2 linked regions of the Ovis aries genome follow. The protein of the gene in region 2 binds, or shares a complex with, the protein of the main gene of each other region. Links are inferred from orthologs where the notes say so. Each region holds a gene or a part of one and is shown on either strand. Other genes may lie near its edges.

The links.
Region 1: the proteins of LLGL1 (region 2) and PRKCI are in contact, whole or in part, in a cryo-EM structure (PDB 8R3Y), measured with the Homo sapiens proteins. The link is inferred for Ovis aries from reciprocal best matches to the Homo sapiens genes LLGL1 and PRKCI. Residues at the interface, in NP_004131.4 of Homo sapiens: Ala315, Asp319, Glu367, His391, Ser392, Ala394, Thr396, Glu453, Cys483, Glu484, His485, Phe506, Asp507, Pro508, Tyr509, Ser510, Asp511, Pro513, Gln518, Lys519, Lys569, Ala600, Val601, Thr602, Leu644, Gly648, Pro649, Leu650, Ser651, Arg652; in NP_002731.4 of Homo sapiens: Asp339, Met341, Gln345, Arg348, Leu381, Asp382, Met399, Thr412, Phe413, Cys414, Pro417, Leu425, Glu445, Gly449, Arg450, Ser451, Gly457, Ser458, Ser459, Asp460, Asn461, Pro462, Asp463, Asn465, Thr466, Glu467, Asp468, Tyr469, Leu470, Phe471.

What each region holds. Positions count from the first base shown.
Region 1 is NC_056054.1:217,842,750-217,846,766, reverse strand, and holds the start of PRKCI (protein kinase C iota type), read left to right. Parts: upstream 1-1,200; 5' UTR 1,201-1,443; coding exon 1,444-1,544; intron 1,545-4,017.
Region 2 is NC_056064.1:34,149,340-34,152,060, reverse strand, and holds part of LLGL1 (lethal(2) giant larvae protein homolog 1), read left to right. Parts: coding exon 1-266; intron 267-392; coding exon 393-537; intron 538-611; coding exon 612-765; intron 766-2,078; coding exon 2,079-2,374; intron 2,375-2,721. UniProt on the Homo sapiens protein: Cortical cytoskeleton protein found in a complex involved in maintaining cell polarity and epithelial integrity. Involved in the regulation of mitotic spindle orientation, proliferation, differentiation and tissue organization of neuroepithelial cells.

The DNA of each region.
Region 1 (4,017 bases), on a different chromosome or scaffold from region 2:
CGGAGCACACGGTTCAATCCCTGGTCCAGGAAGATCCCACAGACAGAGGGAGCAACCAAGAGCCAGAGCCACCGCTCTGCACCCAGAGCCACGGCTCTGCAGCAAGAGAAGCCACAGCAGTGAAAAGCCACCACACCTCAACGAGGAGTAGCCCCTGCTTGCTGCAACTACAGAAAGCCCCCATGCAGCAACAAAGACCCAGTGCAGCCATAAATAAATAAATGATGATGCATGGCTAGTTGGATGGCTTGACTGATTGGCTAAATATTCATTGTGCACCTGTTCCATGCAAGGGCAATATACAAGGGCCAAGATATGGGGGGCAGCAGAAGGAAGAAAAGTCAAGTCTTCCATCATACCTTCTGAGTTTCATTACATTTATCATTACATTTGTTACATATATTATACTACATTCCTTCCATAAAAGACGCTATGCTGCTGCTGCTGCTGCTGCTAAGTCGCTTCAGTCGTGTCCGACTCTGTGCGATCCCATAGACGGCAGCCCACCAGGCTCCGCCGTCCCTGGGATTCTCCAGGCAAGAACACTGGAGTGGGTTGCCATTGCCTTCTCCGAAAAGACGCTATCCTGAGCCCTTAATCAAATTCTTTCCCAAAAAGGTACTGTATAATTGAGATGATTTATGCAATTGGAAGGAGAATTTAGCAGAGAAGAAAGTCTAGAGTGTGACGAATCCCAATCATTTCCAATGTCCTCGGATGCCCAAGGTGGATTCAGGATTTGCACGCCAAAGTCTCCTGGGGCAGGAGCCGGAGACAGACAGAAGGCGGGGCTCTCTACTTGTAAGGAACCTCAAGTCCCAGAATTCCACGGGGACTCCAAATCCCAGAAACCCGCACTCCAAATCTTCTCCGAGTCCCCAGTCGGCTGACCGCGGACGCGACCAAGTTAGGAAACTGGGGTGAGATGCCACAGCACTTGTCTCCAACCATATTCGTAGGGAGGGCTTTTTACAAAAGTATAGTTATTTGAATCTTCACATTCTCTCAGTTACAGCTCCCACACAAGGCCCCCTGCCGGGGAATCTGATATGATGTTCAGCAGTCCCCATCCTCCCTCCCCTTTGCCTTGCTCCCCTAAGAATGGTTCAGCCGGACATTGAGGCTCCTTGATTTGGATCAATGGTTGCACCCGCCCTCCCCCGGAATGTGGGCCTTTGGAGCGAGCGAGGTGGGAGGGACGGAGGCGGGAGGCGTGCAGGGCCCGGGCTGCTGTAGAGGCAGAGTCGGCCGCCGGCGGTGGGAGGAGCCGTGCGGTTCCGGCTGCCCAGGCGAGGCGACACTTGGGTCCGCGCCGCGGGCGGGGACGACAGGTAGGCGAAAGGGCAGCCGCGGCTCCGCGAGAGGCTCGAGCTGCGGAGTCCCCTGCGGCGCCCGGCGCGCCCCCCGCACCCTCGGCCTCCGGCGAGGCGGGGGAATAAGGAGATGCCGACCCAGAGAGACAGCAGTACCATGTCTCACCCGATCGCAGGCGGCGGCATTGGGGACCACTCTCACCAGGTCCGGGTGAAAGCCTACTACCGCGGGTGAGTGTTCTGCGGCGGGGGTGGCAGGGGTGGGGAAAGACCAGCTCGGCTTGGCCTGGAGGAGGGGCGAATGTGGGGCTGGAGATGTGGGAGGAATGGTTTGGGCGGGCTAGTCGGGGGTACTTGGGATGGATGGCCGAGTGGTCGGGGGAGGACGACCAGTGGTGGTGCAGGACGCCCTGGAACCGCACGGCTGAGAATCCTGAGTAGGGTCCTGGGGAGGAGCCTTGGAGTAAGTAGGTCCCCTTGGTGGGTTTGAGAGACTCGCCTACTAAGATTTACAAAGAGCTTTACGTGTTTTAAGTCTGGATGTATTGGGGGTTGAAAGTTGATTCTGAGTGATGCCTTAGTTAACTAAGTTTACTATTAGGTTTTAAAGACGGGATTGCTTCCACTTGCTGATCCTTGTGATTACCAGCAGGCCTATAGCCTTTGGTTTTCTAAGTCAGATTTGTCTTGGTATAGAAGAGTTCCCGACATGTATCAGGAATATGATCAGGCTGCCAATATATTAGACGTAGGGGTTATATTTGAGTAAAGTTGATGTGTTTTCAGGGATATGCATTAGGTACTAGGTCTTGCCTAGGTTAGGTTGTGTATGTGTAAATTAAAATCCGTGAACTCTTCTTTGTCATTGCTCTAAGTCTTGTCCGATAGGGTGAGATAACTGCAAGAAGAGAAGAGGGTGAGAGTAAGCAGTTTTAAAATCTGTGATCTTTACTCATATTATCATCTAAGTTACAACTACTGTGGTTACCAAAAATAACCCAGTCCTAAAATCACAGTATTAAATCATATTCTGTAATCAGTAATCTGAAGTGTCCCCCTTCCTTTGAATTCAGTTGCTGTGTGAAATTTTTTTGAGATAATTACACTTAGGAACAACTGTTAGTGTGAGCAAAAAAGTTTGAAACTGAGGGCTAACAGAAAACCCAGCTTCTGTGGCCTGTCTTAACTGCTTGTCCAAGCAGAAGTAAATTGCTTTAAAAAAAAACAAAACCAAAAACTCAAGCACTAGGAGGTTTGAAACTGCAGTGCATACTTTTACATTCCTGAGAGGATCAGTGAAGATAGCGAACTTTCAAAATGCCTCCCTTGTTTTGATTTCAAGAAAATATAAGCTTCTATGTGTCTTATTGATTTGATAAAAGGATTTATTATTTTGTTTGCTGCAGTGAAGCCTCGGGCTCTGTTTATTAGCTTGACTGTATTCAGAAGTAGTTAAAGGAGTTATTTTGGACAGTAGCAGTGGTTTTGCTTAAATTGATCAAGGAAGTCTTGATTTGAAAACAATAGCTCTGTACTTTGCACTGGAAAAAAAATGCTTTGTTTCCTTTACCTTATCTTTAATTTGACAGATGAGATATTTCACTTTAGAATCTGCTCTTTTATAAAGTTGACGGCCTGTGAGTTGTTAGGTACAGAGAACGAAATATAGTACGTTTTGTTTTTTTATAGTGTCTGATTATTGACAGTTTTAAAAAGCTAGATTTACACACACACACACACACACACACACACACACACACACAGTAGGAACAGGCAAATTGTTCAAAAATATGAAATGAAAAGTGTTCCCCATCCAGTCCTTCCTACCTTGAGTTAACTATAATTGATAAAATGAAAAGTGTTCCCCATCCAGTCCTCCCAACCTCAAGAGTTAACTATGATTGATAGTTCATTTCTTGTTCTTCTGGAGATTGCCTTTATTTCTTACTTTAAAGTTTTATACTTCCGTTTTGTGACTTATCAACTTTAGATGGTATCTAGTGATCCCTTCCTCTGAAGGATGAGAAACTGGGTGCACCCTACACTCTGCTTCCTTGCTCCCTTATGCCTCTCAATTTTTATTGTTAAGCTATTAATTTTAGTTCATCGGTTTACTTTTCTGATTCTTGACATTAAATTTAGGTAGTTTTCAATGATTCCAACTATGAAACATGAAAATAGTGCTTCTTCCTTTTTTCTCCTGTTTTTATTAGTTTGACAATTGCAAATAGGCCTTGTGCTTAATTGCTCAGTTGTGTTGGACTCTTTGTGACCCTGTGGATAGTAGCCCACCAGACTCCTCTGTCCATGGAATTTTCCAGGCAAGAATACTGTTTGCCATTTCCCTCCCCAGGGGATCTTTCCTGCCCAGGGATCGAACCAGTGACTCCTGCCTTGACAGGCTGATGTTTTACCGCTGATACCATACAGGCCCAAATAGGCCTCACAAGTATACAAATTAAAAATCATTGTAAGCTTCTCCTTTGCAAAGAAATCTAAGTCTGGTATACTTTAGAATGTAGGTACTGCTCTAATTATAATTTTTTTTTTAAAGGAGGATAAAATGGCAACCCACTCCAGTGTTCTTGCCTGGAGAATCCCAGGGACAGGGGAGCCTGGTGGGCTGCCGTCTATGGGGTCGCATAGAGTCGGGCACGACTGGGGTGACTTAGCAGCAGCTAAGCAAGTCACTTATAACCCTATT
Region 2 (2,721 bases):
CCGGCAGAGCAGGCGGTGGGCGTGGCCAGCCTGGACCTGCTGCAGGACCGCGAGGGCTTCACATGGAAAGGCCATGAGCGGCTGAGCCCGCGCCTGGGACCGCTGCCCTGGCCAGCCGGCTTCCAGCCCCGCGCTCTCATCCAGTGCCTGCCACCAGCCGCCGTCACAGCCGTCACACTCCACGCTGAGTGGGGCCTCGTGGCCTTCGGGACCAGTCACGGCTTTGGCCTCTTTGACTACCTGCGCAGGAGCCCCGTGCTGGCCAGGTGGGTGTGAGCAAGCCCCTCCTGAGGTTCACGGGGGCACTGCCAGCCTCGCAGGGCCCCGCTGGGGGAGTTCTGCCCCTCGGCTGCTGGACTTGTGCTTCCCTGATGGCTGGCCTGCACCCCCAGGTGCACCCTGCACCCCAGCGACTCCCTGGCCATGGAGGGGCCGCTGTCCCGTGTGAAGTCGCTCAAGAAGTCGCTGCGCCAGTCCTTCCGGCGCATCCGCAAGAGCCGTGCATCGGGCAAGAAGCGGATGGTCGCCGGCAGCAAGGTGGGGCGGCAGGCAAGGCGGTCAGGGTGATGGGGGCGGGGGCAGGATGGTGGCCCGACCTTGCGCCCCTCCAGTTGCAGGAGGCCAACGCACAGCTGGCGGAGCAGGCCGGTCCCCAGGATGTGGAGGTTACGCCCGTGCAGCGCCGCATTGAGCCCCGCTCAGCCGACGACTCCCTCTCGGGTGTTGTGCGCTGTCTCTACTTTGCAGACACCTTCCTTCGAGATGGTGAGACTGGGCGGGGTGGGCAACCAAGGGTGGTGTGTCCTTGGTCCTCTGGGAAATGGGTGATGGGGTGGACCTGTGCCTTCTGGAAGGCTGAAAAACAGTGTGCCTCCTGAGTACCAGGCTGTGCTGGCGACAGGGTGCCCTGACCCCCAGCAGCCCCTGGAACAACCAGGGTGAGGCTCGGTGAGTGGGTGGGGCGGGCCTTAGACCTGGGCAGAGAAGGGAGCCCAGGATCTGGGGAAAGTACGGGCTGTAGCCCCAAGGCCTAGGCGGATGTGACTTGCCTGGGCAGTATGACTGGAGCAGAGGGCAGGCCTGGGAGGAGCTGGTTTTGACCCCAAGTGGCCAGAGCTCCGGCAGGTCCTACCTAGGGCAGTGGTGCATTGGGGTTTATGGACAGAGCTGCAAATCAATTTAACTTGGTAATGGGGCATTTCAGCCCCGCACCGACTGCCCACCTGTTCTACATACATCGTGTATCTTGTAAACACGATTTAAACGTAACGAAGGTCACTGGGCAGCTCAGGATGTGTCTGGTGGACGTCACTTCTGGCACAGGGCCTGTGTCAAAGCCCGGAGTGTGGCTACTGATGACTGGCTACTGTTGCCTGTCACCCTCGGCCCACAGGGGACCCCATTCATCTCGGAAATGCCTTCTCAGAGTTGGGATGGGGTCAGCGTCCAGCTCGCGTGTGCGTGGTATCTCTGCTTCTTTCCTCCTCCATCTGGGAGGGGAGCCCCCCACTTCTAATGTCATTTGTTGAGGGCCCCTTTGTCTGGGGGATCTTACTACTGTCTACATGTGGCAGCCCGGGTGACCTGGTTCCACTGTCTCCCTGAGAAGCATGGCTTCCTGTTGCTCACCTGTTTGTTGCTCGGGTATCCCCTCCATCCCAAGATTGTTGCTGAGGCCACCAGGCCATTGAGGGTGCACATTGTGACTGCCCGGTCCACCCGCACCCCAGTGTTTTTAGCTCACTGTCTACTCAAGAGCCTTCCCTTTCCTAAGGGAGTTGAACTGTGTGGTGTGCATCCTGGATGGGCCCGGGACTTGGTGCCTGGGTGCTCTGAGGGTGGGGCCCAAGTCCAAGTCTTTGGGGGACTGGTGATGAGCTGCGTCACTGGGATGCTAGGAGAGGTCTGAAAAGGTCAGGGTCCAGTTTGATGTGCCTGTGGAGAGACCCTAGAGGTCACTCCTGTGCCTGCAGGGGCCGGCCGGAGTCACCAGGGATGTAGGAGAGACAGTCCAGGATCCCAGGGCACCAGAGGGGAGGGGTGGCACACACCCACCTCACCAGCCTGTCTCCCCACAGCGGCCCACCATGGCCCCACCATGTGGGCGGGCACCAACTCGGGCTCCGTGTTTGCCTATGCACTGGAGGTCCCAGCGGCAGTGGCGGGTGGTGAGAAGCGGCCAGAGCGGGCGGTGGAGGCTGTGCTGGGCAAGGAGGTGCAGCTGATGCACCGTGCCCCGGTGGTAGCCATCGCGGTGCTGGATGGGCGCGGCCGTCCACTGCCGGAGCCCTACGAGGCCTCACGGGACCTTGCACAGGCGCCTGACATGCAGGGTGGCCACGCCGTGCTCATCGCGTCTGAGGAGCAGTTCAAGGTGATTAGTCTCCAAGACCCCTTGGGGTTCTCGTCTCCTGGACACCCTGGACCCTTGGCCTGCATACATCCCTGCTCACTGGGACCTCCTGAGAGCCTCCAGCCGTGGCAGAGGCACCTTGGGGAACCCTGGTGCCCCTCAGGACCCTTGAGCACTCCCTTGGGTGGTCTGGAAGGAGCTTGTGGTGTGGGGTACTGGCTTCCAACTTGACCACCCAGCGTGACTGGCTTTGCCACAGGTGGAGGGGCCTGGGAGGTTTCTGGGCTGTGGAGCTGTGGTCAGGGTGGCAGCTCCGGGTGGGTGGTGCCGGGTGGAGGAGGTGGTGGGGGCCAGGCTAGACTGGGGAT